Schizosaccharomyces pombe: one gene and its partners. The protein of the gene in region 3 binds, or shares a complex with, the protein of the main gene of each other region. Each region holds a gene or a part of one and is shown on either strand. Other genes may lie near its edges. The genes, in order: mrpl1, mrpl40, mrpl10 and mrpl37.

Region 1 (4,969 bases), on a different chromosome or scaffold from region 3:
AAAAAGGATGGTATGAATTTGAAATATTTTTTAATGCGAGCAGGTAATATTGACTTTAATAATAAAATAAAATAAAATGTCATTATAAATGCGATTTGAGGATTTAGTAGAGATATGGATAAAACAGATATGAACCAAACTGCATGAATATTAGGAAATCAAGTTGTAAATATAAAACAAGCATTTTTAAAAAAAAACAAAAAATATTACTCTAAAAATGTTAAGAGGTCAATTTAAGGTTTGTTTACTCTCATTTGTTATGGTGGTAATAGTTTCAGTCATGCATCATCGAAATGTAAACAAACAGCGATCCTATATATACCAAAAACAACAACCATTCCTTTCCATCACACATCTTTTTTGAGATAAAATGAACAATTCAAAACTCTCTGTCCCCGGACAGTATGAAGATGAAAGCAGTACTATATATGTAGGAAATATAGATTCCCGACTTTCTGATGAAGAAATCATCAAACACTTTTCAAAATATGGTATGAACACACAAGTCAAGGATAAAAACACGAGGAAAAACATTAGAAAACATAAATAAAAGCGATATATTAATCAATTCTTTAGGACAAGTAGAATCCATCTTTCGTCGATTACTTGATAGTTTTTATCCTAAGGAAAAAGCGAAACCTTTTAAACCTCCTAAAAATGGAGTGCAATATGGGTTCGTCAAATTCGTTAATGCTGAAAGCATTGAAGAAGTTCTAAAGGACGCTAAAGGAATGACTCTGGGCCAAAGAAAATTGTAAGTGACTGAAGGGAAAAATTAGAGACAAGCATTACAGAAAAAAAAATCGAAAAATCATTCTCCAAAAAATTACTAACCTAAAAAAAAGGACCATTAAAGCAAGAGTCGTAAATCCTGCGAAACTGACAGACAAAAAATTCAAACCTAACGATACGTCAATCACTGCGAACGTGTTCAATCCTAGCATCCAAAACAATACAGATGAGGAAAACGTTAAGCCAGGACTCAAACAGTCTCAGATTAAGGAATTTATTCCAAATGTCGAAGAAAGAAATTGGGAAACTGTGAGAGGCATAAATTCGCGTAACCCGAAGCCAGAAACAACGCTTACCATACCGTCTCTTGGTTTGGAAGATATTAGCATGCAAGTTGTACCAAATGCCTTCGCTTCTACGTTACCCCTTAGTATCTTGAACCTACCTGCCGAAGTCACACCGATTGACTTATATAACCACTTTAAACAGGCTGGTGTAGTAAAAGGGACGGCGGTCAGCCAGTTTCTTGACCAAAGAGGGTTCCGGTATGGCGAAGTGATTATGGATTCAGTTGAATCATGTCAAAATGTAAGCTCAATATGAAGAGAAAACCCCAATATTTGCATAATCTATTTCATGATACTAACCTCATTATTAAGGCAATAGAAAAATTAAATAACGTTCCATACAAAGGAAGCATTTTAGAGGTCAGTATAAAAAATAAAGCCTCTTCTTCAGTGAAGTCAATTCCCACAACGCCGACTGGTGAAAGCTTATGGCCTTTCCCATCGGAAAACGCTAACAAAACTCAAATAAATATCGAAAATGCTACATGTTCGAAGATGACATGGATTATGGGCTCACCAACTAAGGAGAAAAGCCAATGGGGTAGCGTTTCAACTACCGGTGTTTCAAATCAGCAAAATCATCCAGCCGCTTGGAACCCAGATAATAAACCTCAGTCAATCGTGCATTGGGACTCTTTACGTGAAAGCTCTCCAAGTATCCCTAATTCTCCTATTGACCCTTCAAATCTATACGTTAAAAATTTAGATGATACCGTCATCACATGCAAGAGTCAGCTGGAAGATTTATTCTCACCCTTCGGGTCGATTTTGTCTTCCATGTTAGCATGCTATCCAAATTCAGGAATCTCCAAAGGTTATGGTTTCGTAGCGTTTCGTCAAATAGAGGCTGCCGTTAGAGCCAAAGACACATTGAATGGAATGATGGTTGGGAAAAAAAGGATTTTCGTTTGCTTCGCGGAGCGAAAGTCTGACAGAATTCGTAGATTGCAAGCATTTTTTGCAAACAAACCTACTTCAGAACAAACAGCGCAGCAAGACAACAAAGCTTTGTTCGTCAAACCAGAAAGAAGCTCTACTGTTACCATCCGAAAGCCAATAGAGTCTTCTACAAACAAAATCTCTGAGAATCCCACGACCCTTTCAAGTAAGGTTGAAAATAAGAATGAGCCTAAGACTGGTGAAAACAAAGAACCCAGTCAGACAAATGAATATGTTAACTGTAAGCAAGAAAATAAGGAACTTAGTGGACAGTTATCAGGCAACTTGGATATAAAGAAAGAAGCAGGAAAATTGAGCCATGACGGAGAACAAGGAAACTTGTTAAAACCATTGGTATTCCATGCTAACACAAAACTAAATAACCGAGGGTCTGCTAAGATGGGTTCAACAGCCACCAACTTGAAGAAGATACAAGACATGCTTCACAACAAAAAGCTGAGTAATGCATACTTTGTGCCAAGAGCAAGAGCAACAACCTGTACAACTCTTACGTACGTAACAGTTGAGCCCTCACATTTCCAAGATGAGGACTGTAATGAGTCAACGAACATGCTTTCACTTGTCGGGTACATGGACAGCTATCCAGAAGCTACATCCAATATCCAAAAAATGAATTCCTATCATATTAAAGATTCAAATAAGGAAAATTTTTTATCAACAACAAAGGTTAACAACAATTCACCAACAACTATTCAGTTGACGCAGATTTAACAAGATGCGGTGAAGATATAACTATGAAACAAAATTCATAATGCTATATCCCTCAAAACTCCGATGAACAAACTTTTAACTCCTTAAAATATATACATCGTGAACGGATGGATTTGCTAGTATAACCCTACAGTATCTTACAACTACCACAACGTGGAATTTAAACGAAACCGTTTATTTTTAGTCTTTAATCAAAAACATTATAAGGAAATTTGATTTGAAAGATAATTCTTTATTAATTCGAAAGTTGACAGCTGGATCAGATTTGTTTAGAGATTTATGATTTTAGCAGGTTCATTGACTGACATCCAGTAGCTTGGTGACAGTTTGACGAACCAGATTAAAAACCATGAGTTCATTAATAGCGTTAGGTAAACGGCAAACATTATTGTCACATAATGAATTTTTAAATTTTAAAAATCAAAAGGGTTTCTGCAAAAGGTTTATTTCTCAACTAAACAAGAAATCCAATTTTCCCGCTCTTGCGATGACAGTTCCTGAAGCCACAAAATATCTCAAATCTGTGAGCATTTCTGTTCCATATGTTGGGTCTTATATGCTTTCAATTGCTTTAAAAAGTAATCGACGCGCTCCGTCAGCTCGTGGTCAAATTGCCTTTCCTCATCCATTTCAAGAGCCTCCTAAAATTTGTGTGTTTGCTAAAGGTGCAGCTGCAGATGAAGCTTTAAAATTGGGTGCAACCTATGTTGGTGCAGAAGACTTAGTAAAAAAAATTCAAACAGAGCCCCTTGAATTTTCAAAGTGCTTTGCTCATCCCAACTCGGCAGAATTACTACCACAAGTTGCTAAATTATTAGGATCAAAACGTCTTATGCCTTCAATAAAACGAGGTACTATATCAGATGAATTGAAGCCACTCATTGAATCTGCCCTCACAGCTGTTGACTATCGGCAAAATGATGCAGGCTCGATAAATTTGCCGGTTGGAAAACTAGGGTTCAGCGACAAGGAGCTACAAGAAAACATCGAAGCACTTGTATCAAATGTTCGGTTTACTTTGGCCAAACTGCCTGGAAAAGTTAAAGTTACCGTAAAGCATGTTCATCTTTCCGCCTCACATGCTATTGCAATTCCTCTCCAGTATAAATAATGATTAAAATGTTATTGCATGGGAAATTTAGTCTACAGTCTTGTCATTTGTAATATGTATTACATGATTAATTTTGTACAAATTAGTGAAATGTGTAATGATATTTTATCTAGTAAATTTAGAAGCCTGTTTATATTTATTTATTATCATAAACTACTTTTTAAAAAGTATGAATGAAACGTTAGAATACAACATTATGAAAGTTACTCTGTGCGATGCCATTTCAGAACAGGCGATTCCGGAGAATCAAATCTGTTATCACAAGCTGAGGTATCTACGTTTTCAGCCGTAACCCACTGGTGATTTGGATCAAAAAATAAGGACATAGGGTTTCCCATACTCGCGTTTTCAACATCATTATCTGAGGAAAAAGTGTCCGGATGTAGAGATTGGCAAGTACAAAGAGCCTGGTAACATGAATCAACATCAGTAACATATAATGTTAGTTCTAAAAAATCATCTGTGAATTCATTTTCATCTTCGGTAGAAGGAGCTTCATGCAATGTTCCTGACGACCGTTCAAATTTAAGAATGTGATCTAGCAAGGGTCGAATGGCTTCACCCTCTAATTGAACATATACATATGGCTTATCCTTGCTTTGTTTCGCATGAAGAGTAATGGTTTCATATGGAATTTTCCAGCCAGAATTCTGTTCTTCATCAAAAAGGATAAAGCTCTGTGAAGTTACTAATAAAGTTATCAATTTGCCCAAAGGAAAACTTTCCTCATCACTTCTAATTTTATAGGGGACTGTTTTTTCTTCAAAATAAACGATTTCTTGATTTGGCAACAACTTTTCACCATTTTCAACTTTGCGAATTAGGTCCTTTGGAAGTGAGTCAATTTTGGTAATCATAATTACTTCTTGCTTCCAATAGGTATTTAAGCATAAAAATTATTAAAAAACAGTAATAAGGCCACCTCTACCTGATAATTTATTGAAAGAAAAGGTTTACTGTGCGTTGTATTCTTTTGAAGTACTCAAATACAATATCTTCGCATATTAAGCATTTCGCAAAATCGAAAATATATTTCTACTCTTAACCACACGAATTTTTTATAAATTGAACCATTATGCCAAACAGGATATCGATTTTACTCAAATAC
Region 2 (4,669 bases), on a different chromosome or scaffold from region 3:
CACCTTAATATCGAAAAATATAGAACTAACTTTTACAAAGTTATTGACAGGGATGAACAAAAGCATGAATATACCGGCAATGGCTCGTATCACTCAGCAATTCGAGCGTGAAAATGAAATTATGGAACAGAGACAAGAAATGATTGATGAAAATATGGACGATGCTTTAGAAGAAGATGACGAAGAGGAAGCTGATGAACTTGTCAATAAAGTGTTGGATGAAATTGGAGTCGATTTGTCTCAAGGATTGCCAGATGCTGCGACCCAAATTGGTACGGTACCGGAGTTAAAGACTGAAGACAATTTACAAGCCAGATTGGATGAACTGGCAAAGCGTTAATTTTCGCACAAGAGATTAATGGACTTTAAAGATCTTGATTTGTATAGATTTTCTACATTGATTAGTAAAAGTTTTTCTAGGTTAACGTGTAAACTTCAAATACTTCACTTTCATTGAAATCACTTATCACTTACTCTACTAAGTTAAATATATTTAAGTTTCTTGAAAAATTTTTTAGAAGAGTTTACAAAAGTTTATTAAGCTTTATAACCTAGAGATTGTGAATCATTATGTAATGTTATAAAAAAATGCTTGCAACGACCAAACATCGTTTTTGTTTTAATCACTGTAAGTATTAGGAGAGATGGGTTTTTTTATTAAATCTTCAGCAGCAGTCTCTGCTCGGACAAGATCTTTAGCAATTTCAGTAAAATCATCATTGTTCTTTTTATATCCCCATATACGATCTAAACGGCGAGACCAATTGGCTCGTAAATCGCCAATTGCAAACGGAGGAAGAGGAGGCTCCGATAAGCTAGGAGACCAAGTAACTTTACTAACTACTGGATTCTTAGTATCGAGTTTACCTTCGGGATCTTTAGGCTTATCTTCAGTCTTGGGACGAGGAAGATGAATAGTATGAATTTGTACTCCTTCAATATTAGGCCGAATAATGGACCGGAGATTAGTTGAGGAATGCTTTTTAAGCTTAACTGGAATAAGAACTGGTTCCCCGGCGTCAGTCTTTGCATGCGCAAGAAGACGCACATTTGCATAATGTACTTCGTGAGCAATATCAATTACTGGATCTTGGTTATCTTCAGGCTTATTTCGCAAAAGAAAAATTGGTACTTTGACGGATCTCACATTAACCCCCTCTATGGTAATACCGTTTGTGTATTTGTTTGTCTCAACAACACGGCCCCATTTTCCTTTCAGAGGTCCTTGATGAACATATACATAATCCCCTTTAAAAATATGCCAGAAAGGGACTCTGTCAGCTGGCTTTCCAAACGGTAACTCGGGTTTAGCGGATTTATCGTCTTTAACAGTTGGATCAGATTTATTGAGGTGTTCGCGTATTTTGGTTCGCATATGCAACGGTAAAGGCTTTTTCATTTTTAAGACGTTAGTACCAGGGCCTCGGAGCCTTGGAATTAATTTACGCAAGTCTCTCATTCTGCTCAAAAAGTTTTATAATATTTAAATAACTAACGGTGGTACATCACTTGTACAGAGGAATTTACTACGCTGTAATGTTGGAACGAAAGTAAAACCTCTAGACAGGATAAATATGGCCAAATATAAGAGAAAAAATAAGAATGCTATGAAACAGTAATGTGTATCCTGCTGGTAGTTTGCAGTTGTTATTTGAGTACTCTCTTCGTCAATAAGTAAAGAAATGGATCATTGTTACACAAAGGCAACTTTGCGATACGTGGTTAAGTTTCATTATTTAAAATTTGCTTTTGCTTTTGCACGCAATATTCTACAGCTTCGACATCGTTAACCAACATTAAAATGATGTGTACTCGTTAAGACAATGTCATTCTATCTATTTGTTTATAAGTTTAAAATTGAAAATGTTAAGCGAAATCGTATAGAAACGCTTCGCAAGTGGTTGTGTTAATATACTAGGATGTAAGATTGAAGTTTTGTCGGATAACTCAAACTTAGTCGATACTTCTATTGTTTTCTACTTTTTTTTTAGTATTTGCTGAATTTAGGTAATAATTTTTAAAAGCCTAATATCATTCGTGATTTGTAAACTGGTTTAGAAAACCCGACAAATAACTTGCACTTATATTAAATATTTAACCATAAGGTTTTCCAAGATTATGTTAACATCCGAAAAATGATTGGAACCATCCTTTTGCCTTTCAGGCTCGCAAATATCAAATTTTTGTTTAATTTTCAGATAAATCTAAATACCGATATATAGTGTATGGATTGTTAACCTGTTTAACAGATTTAGGCGTTGGATTAAAACACTATAATTAGAGAAGGTGAGAATAACAAAAAATAATCCAAAAAAGTACCCATCTTGAGCAAAATGGTTATTAGTCAACCTGTTGGACAAATTCGTCTAACCAATGTGTCCGTTGTAAAATATAAGAAAGGAGGGAAAAGATTTGAAGTTGCTTGTTATAAAAATAAAGTTACAGAATGGAGAAACAAAATGTATGCATGATTTCATTAAATTAAGCTACTGTAATTAGTGAGAGTCAGCCTTTGCTACAGATAAATATTCTTTAAGATCAGCAGAAAATTATAACAAGCTATCTTTTTGAATTCACGTGTCTTGTCGACTGGTGTCAACAACTCAATAACTCGTACAATTTTTTTTGATCAAAACCATAGCTAACCAAGTTTAGTGAAACAGATCTGGATGAAGTTTTACAAATCCACAATGTGTTTAACAATGTTTCTAAAGGACATGTAGCTAGCCGACAGGATTTGAAAAAGGCTTTTGGTACAGATGATATAGATAAAATTATTTTAGAAATTTTGCAAAAAGGAGATTTTCAAGTAGGTGAAAAGGAAAGACATCATCAAATGTCTTCAACTTATCGCGATATTGTCTCCCATGTTACTGCGATGTGCATGGATCCTAATTCTAAACGACCTTATCCAGCATCTATAATTGAAAAAGCATTATCTGATTGTGGCTTTTCTGTCTCTACCAGTAAAACTGCAAAGTCCCAAGCTCTGGAAGCTATTAAGAAATTGCAAGAAAAAAACGAAATTCCTATCGTCCGTGCGCGTATGCGCATCAGAATAGTGGTGGATGTCAAACAGGGAAAAGCTTTACGAGAGCGTTTACGCTCTTTAGCTGATGAAATTGAAGAAGAAAACATTGATGATGAATATGAGTGCATAGCTCTCGTGATTCCAGGGAATTATAAGTTGATAGATGAACTTGTCCGAAATGAGACCAAAAACCGAGGTATGGTTCAAGTACTCGACATGAGCGAGGCTAGGACTTAAAAAGGTATACAAATAACCTTTCTGAAAATACGCTCTATATGAATTCCCTAATCTGTTTTCCTCCTCCTTTTTGCTTACATTGTTCATTGGCTTTTGGTTTTGAAAAATTTTGCTATTAAAAGACACGTTCTGATTCGTTCTGGTTATCCAGAACATTATTTAATTTATCAATATAGCAATTCAGTTCAGAAGAAAGTAAAAAGAAAGTAAAGAAATGAAATTAAAAGACTATCGTCCCTTTCATTTCTGCTAGTTCCATTCAAAGCACGCATTCAAATGTGAAAATGAAAGTAGCGTGAGTGATTTGTAGAATGTTGAACCCTTACCACAATGCTTTCAGTTGTTCAACAATTTAATGATGAGGATATCTATAGTGTACGATTTCGGATTGTAATATCACCTATTTACAAACAGTAATTGTAACTAAAGTATACATTTTGCTTAACAGCAGTGTGATATAATACTGCGTTAATACTTTTAAGCAAATTTGACGAAATTCGTAGCATGTTCTTCAGATTCGGTATTTTGCGACATGGAATTGGATTGTGCAATAAGTTTTTGAGACTTCAAACCCATCGTATACTTTTTTTTAACTCTCTTTTATTTGTACTTAAGTTGCTCATTCTTATCTCAATTTTTTTTAGTTGCAATTTTTTGTAAGGATTTAAATTATTTCATTCTTAAATTTTAAATTTTGAGAGATTATACGCAACTTATTAAAATGGGGAAGATTAAAAACAAAATTGTCCGCCAACAGCAGTATATGAAGGCTCTTCATCAAAAAAATAAGGACAAGCTTGAAAGAAGAAAAGAACGTGCTAAAGAAGAAGAAAAAGACCCGGAAAAGAAGAGATTGCGACTTTCAGAAAATATTCCCGCTACTATTGAATCGAAACGAGTTTATGATGAAACTATCATAGAGGATAAACCCGATGAGGAACTTCAGGCGGAGTTAAAAGATGATGAGTTTTCTGCATACTTTAGTGAAGAAAGGAAAGTTCCGAAACTTTTGGTAACCACGAGTAAACGAGCCTCTAGAAAATGCTATGATTTTGCATCTGAGCTTTTAGATTGTTTTCCTAATGCTGAATTTCGAAAAAGAACCGGAGATATTGAAGTTCATGAAATCGCAGAAGCCGCTGCTAAGCGTGGTTACACCGATTTACTGGTATTAAATGAGGATCGTAAAAAAACAAATGCATTAACCCTTGTACACTTACCGAATGGCCCTTCGTTCTATTTTACCTTATCGAATCTCCAAACAGCAAAGGAAATTTCAAATCATGGCCGCTCCACTGGTCATATTCCAGAACTGATAATCAACAATTTCTCAACGAGACTTGGTATGACTGTTGCTCGAGCCTTTCAATCATTATTTATTCAAACGCCTCAAATTCAAGG
Region 3 (4,628 bases):
TCCATTTCGACAAGCTCGATCATATCAGGCTCGACCATATCGACTTTATTGATGTATACAACAATTTGCTTTACACCGACTTGACGAGCCAGAAGCAAATGTTCACGAGTTTGAGGCATTTGACCATCGGTAGCAGAAACAACAATGATAGCGCCATCCATTGTAGCAGCACCAGTAATCATATTCTTAATGTAATCGGCGTGACCAGGACAATCCACATGGGCATAGTGACGATTAGCAGTTTCGTATTCAACATGGGCAGATGAAATGGTAATACCACGTGCCTTTTCCTCGGGGGCCTTGTCAATTTGACTATAATCCATAAAACTAGCTTGACCAAGATCAGAAAGGCATTTAGTAATAGCAGCCGTCAACGTCGTTTTACCGTGGTCAACATGACCAATAGTACCAATATTGACATGCGGCTTTTTTCTAACGAACACCTTAAAAAAGTTAACAAGTAATCAAAAAGATGAAGAATGAAAAAAAAATACCTTTTCGTCAGCATAAGTTCGAGCTGGGACGGTGAACCGGTTAATCAAACCTGAAGCGAAAGAAATGCGGTTCAATCGCAAGCAATTTTTTCTAAAGCCTTGAAAGAGGAGAGAGGTAGCTTTAGCTGAATTCATAACGAAGGGAGCGTGTAGGCAGAGGAGAGGTCTCTGGCGCTCGTGTTGTCCTTGAAATAAGTCTCAGCGGTGCGCATCGTTATGAGAATACTATTGACACGAGCATTTCATGAAATAAATGGTCCTGGGTGTTTGGATACAATCAATATTTGTAGAATTTATTTTATTTTGTTCTATTTTACCGCTACGCCTATATATGATGATACGCTTGTTAATAATAAAAAAATACTAGATGAACTAGTGAACAACACCGCCAAATCGAAAGCAATTGATAGTTTTTTTTTATTTGCACAATGAATGGTATTATGTCTCTGATCTCTAAAGGAATGTCAATCTGATTTTGCTAGATCGCAAGAGCAACCACCATGCAAGCAAAAATCGCTTACTATCCTGTCAAGTACAAAGAATAAAACCATTAATGAAAAGTCTCAATGACAAAGCTCAGCGTCTCGTGAATGTTGGTTAACTTCGAAGAGTCTTTTGCTTTTATTAAGTAAAAGGATGTAAGGAATAACAAGAAGTGGTGCGTGACTAAAGAAAGATAAAACTATCCATCCAACGGAATAAAGGAAAATCAAACTTTTCTGTAATATAGAATACTCAAATCAAAAGTCGTTACTATTGTACGAAGAAGCACCTCTAAAGCGAAAAATTTTAAACAAAAGAATGAGATAAAAATATGTAGATAGCTTTGTATAGTAATTTTATTCGTTCCTTTAATTACGAGGTGGAGCAATCAAAATAACCGAATCACCTAAAGTTCATTAGCATTTGGCGAAAAAGGAAAAACAGTTTCGAAAAGGAAAGCTTAATCATGGTCAAACTTTTCGAGCGTAATATTTAGAATCTACGTACCACGAACAAAGAGCATCTCATAATGTTTGCGAATCGTTTTTAAGGCCTTGTCCTTATCGGTCTCTTCATCATCAAAAATAGTTACAATTTCTTCAGCATCTCCTAGTACCATATTCTAAAATACGTGTAAGTAATCCATCCAAATGCGAGTTATGAATATGATTCATACCAAATGTTCATCATAGGCCTACAATCGAGTTAGTATAACCAATTCAGAATAAGAAAAATATTCAAGAAACGTTAAAAAAATTTCATACATGAAGACGGCCATTTAATTCTCTATCTCCCCGTAATTTTACATAAACGATTTCATCCAAAGAAAGCCTCACCAAATCAAGAGGTTCCGCGACCTACAAACATTAGTTACCGAGTTACTGTTGATAAATCTTACTGCCTGTGCCGATTCCATTATAAAGTAAAGGGTTATTATATCTACCAAGCAAGATCGCTGTTGCTGCAATTATGCACTGGCATATGTCAGGAAGAAATAAAGGAGGAAACAAATTCGAATTGCGCAGTGCAGCGATGCTGAATATAGTAATAAAGATATTTTTATGAGACGCTATAGAATTTTACGTATTCGTGTGTGTCCGAATCTTTTGTAATAGTAAACAGCAGCCTTGGACTTATTACCATCTAAACTCGACGAAACCCGTTTTTTGAATTGGAAAATGTTTAATATTTTATCTCGGGTTTGTCGCAGTTCTTCATTTCATGGTTTTTTGAGATCCTCTGGTTATCCAAGATTTGGTGCTAGTTTCCGCGGCATCAGTATGTTGAATGATTTAAACAACAGTGCAAATTATCAGTCAAAGAAGCGAGTGGGTAGAGGCCCTGCGAGCGGTTTAGGAAAAACCTCTGGACGTGGTCATAAAGGATCTGGTCAAAGGCGTGGACGGAGAATTAAACCTGGTTTTGAAGGTGGTCAAACTCCTATCACCAAATTATTTCCTAAAGTTGGTCACAGTACGGGACATTTGAAGAAACCGTTGCGTCTGGGGTTAGGGAGAGTTCAGGAATGGATTGATCGTGGTAGATTGGATGCTAGCAAGACAATTACTATGAAAGACCTCCTCGATAGTAGATGCTGTAGAGGTATTAAACATGGAGTTGAACTTACTGCTGACGAACCTGGACTCCTTAAAACAGCAATTTCCATAGAAGTTTCTAAGGCTACAGTTCAAGCTATACAACAAATCAAAAATGCAGGCGGCAGTATAACAACAGTATATTTCAGCCCGTTGGCGCTACGTGCCCATTTGCATCCTTCAAGTTTTCGTACACCTCCTCGCCCTCCCCTTCCAGTTTCAAAGAAAGACATACGCTACTACACAAATCCACATTTTGCAGGGTATCTTGCCAACGTTAAAAATATTCGAGAGCTATATTATGGCGACCAACGATTCCCCTACGAACCGATTGTTAAAGATAAATAAGTAGTTCCCATATTACATCAGAACTTGATATATGTTCATCAAAAATCCCGCTTTCCTAATATGTCCTTAAAACTTTGTTATGTCTATTGATGATTCCGTGCAGCCTCCTTTACTTTCTTGGATGGGTTACATGTTGAGTTTTGTAAGGAAATATCTGCATCCTTTTCTTAGTACATTTGTATAATTACGTTTCCAATTTCGGTGTTTGAGCTCTCTACTGACTTTTTCGCTTACAGTTCAATACCCATTAGTAATATTTTGAATACCTTTCTCATTCGAAAATATAGCTTCCTTCTTTATCCCCCAAATCCCCTTGTTGTAGTCAGTTCATTCTCTGTCAGATAAACCCTTTCTCACATTTATTCATTTGCTTCATTAGTAGATTTGAGCATTCGCAGTCATGCACTTTTTTTGTATAATCAAGAACCCCTGCCGACTGTTTGTTAAATTATTATCTTTTGCCTTTTTTTGTTTAAAGCTTTCTTAAAATTTTTTCATCCTCCGATTGTCTATCCAACAGGAAAAGATCTTTCAAAGGATCTCCTTTTCAAAGGCATGCAAGGAAGAAGAAAAAGAACATTTGTTGATCAATGGAACGGTTAAAGACTTATATATAAGAATGACTAAGAAAACCGGCATTTGTAATAGAAGTGTAAGCGAACCATAGTAGTACATTAACCTTATGATCAATTAATCTACATAAACGGTCAATTCTAAAAAAAATAATACATATTGACTGGGAAACTCCTTATTTCATATATTAGAAAGGGACATTTATCAACTCTCCAATTAGTGCACTAAAACGCAGTATGGAAGGAACGATGCTAAGAACTGCTTCAACACTTTGTCAATAAACCAACAATGTCGGCTCCGTCGCCGTTTATTAAGAAACTTGCAGCTAATGGTAAATTTCTTACATATAAATGATTAATGTACTAACACTGTAAGATCGAAAAACTCGTGATAAGGCTCTTGAATCGTTGCAGCGGTTTTTAAGCCAAAAGAAAAAATTTGAAAGGTTAGACTTTCTCAAGCTTTGGAAGGGCTTATTTTACTGTATGAATTTTTTTGGGTTATGAATGTAAATCATCTAATTGTTTTTTAATATGCAGGCATGTGGATGGCTGATAAACCCTTATACCAACAGAAACTCTCAGATAATTTAGCCGCGTTGGTTCCAATTGTCTGGATAGACAATAGAATATTATTTCAATCTACTTTTTGGGAAACTATGGGTCGTGAATGGACGGGAATTGATATTTTACGAACAGACAAATTTTACTTGTTAATGCGTAGATTTTGTGCTGCTGCGTTTCGGGATATTCAAACAAGAAGTAAAACTGCTTTGCTGGACAAAGTAGTGGCTGAATATAATCAGATGTGGATGGATGGTCCTTTTAAGTAAGTTGTTTTCGTTCCCGCGTGTGGGAATTTGTTTATTATATAGATTGCTTTTGCGTTGGAGACTTTTAGAAAAGTTTTGCAACGCTTTTACTTCCTGCTTACATCAAACTTGTTGAATAGCTATTTCTTAATTTTTATCATTTTTCTGTTTATTTGGACAGACTACTAACTGCTTTTAGTACCGAAAATCTTGCTTTTCCAAATGGGATTTTATTCCATTTAGCTGATATATGGACTGAGGAATTAAGAAAAGTCTACCCAGAAGATGTACCAAAAGCGGACTGGTATCTTCCTTTTGATTCTA
Region 4 (4,473 bases), on a different chromosome or scaffold from region 3:
TTATCCAGCACGCACAGGCAACGAAATCATTGATGAATTTGATCAATTAAATTTGCAATGTTCCGCTTGTGGAACTCGTTTTTTTAATAATGATAATGAAAACACAAGATGCTATGTCAAATTGAACTACTGTTATCCAGACTGTACCGAAATTACACCAAGCACCAGCGAATACGATTATCGAGAGCCGGTTAGAGATTGGTAATAATAAGAGGAAAGGATCCATTCTGAATTAAGCATAAATATCATAAATACGAATTTCCAAAAAGGACGACGATTACTGGTGACTTTTATTCTTTTAATCTTTTGTGCGATTAAGTTATCTAAACAGTGATTGTCTTTTCTTATATTTTTAGGGATTGAAGGTATGCAACACAATCTTCGACACTTCCTTCAGGGTGTTTAAATTGCCAGGAAATCATGTTATCCATAGTCTCTTTCAGCTGCGGGCCAGGCTTAACTCCCACATTTTTCATGATCTGTTTTCCCTAAAAAATTGTTAGCTTATTCGCTCAATATTGTTAACAGAAATAAAAGAATTACATACGTCTAATAATGGCTTCATGTTATAAGCATTTTGTAAATTTTTGTCATAAATAAAGTCATATAGAGATTTATAAGAACTAAATGTATTTGATACAGATGCTGCCGGTGTTTTACAACAACTATATATGACCGATGTTAAAAACACGACTTCCCAGGATTTATTCAATTGTCGTATTAAGCTGCCAATAGATGAGCAATTTTTAGTGGAAGTATCGTTAACTAATTCATCGAATATCGGATTGAATGTGCAGCACTGATTCAACTGGTTAACATATGTACTTCTGAGCTTCAACTTGTCTTTTGCGATGATTGCAGGAATATAAAATTGTTTTTTCTTAACCATAACAGTTTGACTAGACCATGGAATTAGAGCAACATATAGCCATAGCCCAATTTTCTCATCTTCACTTAATTTCATAAGTTTAGGAAACGTCAATGCAAGACTCTGAAATAAAGACTCGGTAGCTTCCAATGCCTTTGGAATTTGAAATTCTTTTTCAGCTGGCAAAGTATCGAACGTAAACTGATACGTGTTCGTTGAATATAACAGTTGAAGTGCTAGCTTCGCGTTTGCACCCTTCAACATTTTCTCAATTTCCTCTCCTACACGTTCCTTGCTAACCTTTTTTTCAAAAGCTTTACATACTTTCGGATCTTGGATAGCGGAAACGACCGACGGATCAATTGTAAATTCAAATCTGGATGCAAACCGAATGCCTCTCAAAATTCGTAAGGGATCTTCCAAAAATGATTGGAGAGGTGAAATGGGCGTGACCAACACTTTGGTTTGCAAATCTTTATATCCTCGCTTTGTAATGTCCTCTATTTTTTCTGTTCGTATGTTAAAGAATAGGGTGTTAACCGTGAAGTCTCTTCTCAATGCATCTGTTTCAACAGTTCCTGGGGTAACGCTAGGAATTCGACTTTTATCATCATATGATTCTGCACGAAGTCCTACAAAATCAATATCAAGGTCAAATAGGGATAAGGTAGCAGTTTCTAAATGCTTGCTTTGATCGGGATTGACAGTTAGCTTGCCAAGTGCGTCTTTATATGGAATAACTGAGTCAGAGTCGAGAGAGTGAACATACTCAAATATTGAATTTGCAAAGTCAACACCGGTAACTTTATTCAACGTAACGTCTAAATCGTCACTAGAAAGCCCAAGAAGTTTATCGCGAACCCATCCTCCTGCCAATCTAACTTCCAATGACGAACTGCTGCTGGATTTAGATTCAATAAAATCAGCAGTCTTTTTCAAAAGATTAACAACTTTTTTCTCAACATCGTTCAATACAATTCTAGAATACATTTTCGTCAGCCAAATTCCATAAACGATACACAGTTTGGGCAATACCGGTTTCTCTAAGGTTGGCAGGTTGAGGTTTGAATATGCTTCTCTTAAAGAAGGACATGTAGTAGTAATTTTTTTTATGCTACAAATGTATATCACTGATATAAGGTTATTTAATATATTTTTATTTTAAAATGATTTTTGGATTCTGGGAAATGGTAAAGTAGCGAATGTCATATGCCTCAAAAAAAGTAAACAAAAAGAATGGATCAAATGCTCATAAGGATAGAGAGGAGATGGAAAATTAAGAGTTTCAAACATTCTAAAAGGTAATTATTTTTTAGTAAGAAAGTTAGCCGCTCGAATGGCACTTTTACGAGCATGACTTCGGGCAGTCTTAGAATTGGGAGCTGGCTCATCCAGAAGAGACCATAACCATTCTGGATATTCATGATCTTCACGAGCTACAGGGTCGACGCCACCCGCCTTTATACACAGTCCCTTTAATATAGTACCTGGAAGGACAGAACTAGTGTGCGTTTTATTAGCGACTTTTTGAGCTGAAGAAGTGGCATCCGAATTATGCTGTGGCTTTTTGGGTGAAACACGAGAGGATACATAACTTCGTTTAACTAATGATGAAGAAGAGTTACGGGAACTTCTTAAAACCAATGTGTTAGAGTAGCATGAGAATTGAGAGATACCGCGAGTAATTGCGCGCGATAAAGGGGCCATTGACTCGATAAATGGCATTGCTTAGACAGTAAACAAAAAACTTTGCAAGGAGGATAAAATCTTTAACCAAAAGTGGATCAAAGGCGATGAAAAAGGTCAATAGTAACGCCTTCGCATATATAAGGAGCAAATACGTCCTGCTCTTTGAGTGAAAAGTTTTAGAGAATAATATTATTTCAAGTACTATAGGAAATAAAAAATGACTCTATAAAGAGCCGCTTTCAAAGTTCAAGGAGTTTGGTTATGGGACAACCTGGACGTTACTATACAACTCATGTACAGATGGGTAGCAGACACAGGTACATGTAAGGGTTTCAAGCGTCTGTTTACAATTTGGGAATCAAAATAAAATTTTTGTTTTTGTTTTTTTCATAATTATAAACTATTGCTAAGTTCAAATGGGGTGTCGTTCTAACAAGAATGTCATTAAGTTTACAATAATAATACCAAGCACGCTTGAGTACTATAGGAATACTTATGAAATAAAGTAAAGCACAATCTATCAAGTGAGACTCTAGAAATGTTAATCGAAAATTGTATTTGTCTGTGTTCGACTATGTAAGAAAGTCAAAGAAATAAAATAATATGATTTATTTTTACAATAAATCATTAGCACATTAGAATATTTCTACTTCATTCATTTTTCTCAACTTGCAATGTTTCTTCGACAATCACTTGATTGTTGTAAATGGTAAAGAACCATTAGGTGTTATTTGGGATATTGAGGAACAATCTAGTAGTACGGTTTAAATAAAGAGAACATATATAGATTTTAGAATTAGTATTCAATTATGTTTAACGTTATGTCCTTCATTCGATACGTCAGAATTACCATTTTTTTTACTTGCGAAATGTACTTATTCCACACAGTTAGCGACTGATCCATTGAGGATCGAGAAGCGCTTGCAATCACTTTTTGTTAAAGAAAAATAGATTTACAATAAATTTGACAAATTGTACTAGTCGGTGTCTTAAGTCACTCGGGACAATTGAAAAAAATAAATCACTGACTTGCGAACTCTTCTTAGTTAATAGTTACACCTTTATGGGTGTTTTCTTAAAATTTCGCCAAGTTTTACTTTAGATAGAACATAAATCATTTAAAGTATTATCCATCTCATGAAAACAATAAAAAATCTGCAAGAAGATCAATAAACAAGCTTTAACCATCAGGTTATTCTCTTACTAGAATTTCATTATTTGCCTCGATAAATTCCTATAACATATTTCTCTAAGGCTCTTCGATATTCATTTTACAAATAAAAAAAATCATGCCGACAACGGCAGGATTCGAACCTGCGCTCCCAAAGGGAATCCGCTGGGCTACAGAATAGCAGGCGAACGCCTTAAAACCACTCGGCCACGTTGTCCTCCGTTGAGACGATTAGTATTAAGTAGATTATGTATTTAAATTTAATAAATTTATAAGAGATTATTTAGTGTACCGAAATAGTTTTAAATTCATTTATTTAGTATATTTTTGCTTATAACATTTCCGGTTCATTTTGGAAACGATTTAAATAAAGAAATTTTACAATTTTGTAAAAATGTATGCTTTCAATGTACAATTACGATTTTCCCTATTTTGCTTTTCTTACACTGAAGGAAATGCTTGTGATTTCCTCGATCAATATTTGATATCCTATTTTTTTCCCTCATTTATTTTCTGGGGGTTTTTTTTTCTTTCATCCTGTAGAGAAATTGTATATACTTTCTGTTTATTTCTATATTACTATAAGATGGGGATTTAGTTTTAAATAGTAATGAACCAAATTAAATTACATTGAACTTATCAATAGTATTATGCTTTGTGCTTCTGCGATTTATTTTTTTTATTTTTTAAAATTATTTTAATTTATTTTTGATGATTCGGGATTGCTTGTTAAAATATTCTCTTG

The links.
Region 1: mrpl10 (region 3) and mrpl1 share a complex: the UniProt entries of both Schizosaccharomyces pombe proteins name them as parts of the mitochondrial large ribosomal subunit.
Region 2: mrpl10 (region 3) and mrpl40 share a complex: the UniProt entries of both Schizosaccharomyces pombe proteins name them as parts of the mitochondrial large ribosomal subunit.
Region 4: mrpl10 (region 3) and mrpl37 share a complex: the UniProt entries of both Schizosaccharomyces pombe proteins name them as parts of the mitochondrial large ribosomal subunit.

What each region holds. Positions count from the first base shown.
Region 1 is NC_003424.3:1,790,374-1,795,342, reverse strand, and holds mrpl1 (mitochondrial 54S ribosomal protein uL1m), read left to right. Parts: upstream 1-2,891; 5' UTR 2,892-3,099; coding exon 3,100-3,861; 3' UTR 3,862-3,943; downstream 3,944-4,969. Other genes in the region: poly(A)-binding protein Crp79, read left to right, coding at 371-491, 577-754, 846-1,320, 1,392-2,750; protein saf5, read right to left, coding at 4,065-4,718. UniProt on the Schizosaccharomyces pombe protein: Component of the mitochondrial ribosome (mitoribosome), a dedicated translation machinery responsible for the synthesis of mitochondrial genome-encoded proteins, including at least some of the essential transmembrane subunits of the mitochondrial respiratory chain.
Region 2 is NC_003424.3:2,670,770-2,675,438, reverse strand, and holds mrpl40 (mitochondrial 54S ribosomal protein uL24m), read right to left. Parts: upstream 1,647-4,669; 5' UTR 1,460-1,646; coding exon 620-1,459; 3' UTR 501-619; downstream 1-500. Other genes in the region: ESCRT III complex subunit Did4, read left to right, coding at 41-340; SBDS family ribosome maturation protein Sdo1, read left to right, coding at 2,334-2,461, 2,656-3,268; Brix domain-containing protein Rpf1, read left to right, coding at 3,990-4,669. UniProt on the Schizosaccharomyces pombe protein: Component of the mitochondrial ribosome (mitoribosome), a dedicated translation machinery responsible for the synthesis of mitochondrial genome-encoded proteins, including at least some of the essential transmembrane subunits of the mitochondrial respiratory chain.
Region 3 is NC_003423.3:1,820,781-1,825,408, forward strand, and holds mrpl10 (mitochondrial 54S ribosomal protein uL15m), read left to right. Parts: upstream 1-2,122; 5' UTR 2,123-2,155; coding exon 2,156-2,920; 3' UTR 2,921-3,177; downstream 3,178-4,628. Other genes in the region: translation elongation factor EF-Tu Tuf1, read right to left, coding at 1-443, 495-629; U6 snRNP-associated protein Lsm3, read right to left, coding at 1,346-1,383, 1,485-1,599, 1,654-1,671, 1,742-1,834, 1,876-1,893; Nop52 family nucleolar protein, read left to right, coding at 3,782-3,824, 3,869-3,976, 4,033-4,321, 4,504-4,628. UniProt on the Schizosaccharomyces pombe protein: Component of the mitochondrial ribosome (mitoribosome), a dedicated translation machinery responsible for the synthesis of mitochondrial genome-encoded proteins, including at least some of the essential transmembrane subunits of the mitochondrial respiratory chain.
Region 4 is NC_003421.2:1,252,665-1,257,137, reverse strand, and holds mrpl37 (mitochondrial 54S ribosomal protein mL54), read right to left. Parts: upstream 2,821-4,473; 5' UTR 2,594-2,820; coding exon 2,174-2,593; 3' UTR 1,912-2,173; downstream 1-1,911. Other genes in the region: protein mug117, read left to right, coding at 1-205; cca2 (ATP/CTP tRNA nucleotidyltransferase), read right to left, coding at 345-488, 548-1,858. UniProt on the Schizosaccharomyces pombe protein: Component of the mitochondrial ribosome (mitoribosome), a dedicated translation machinery responsible for the synthesis of mitochondrial genome-encoded proteins, including at least some of the essential transmembrane subunits of the mitochondrial respiratory chain.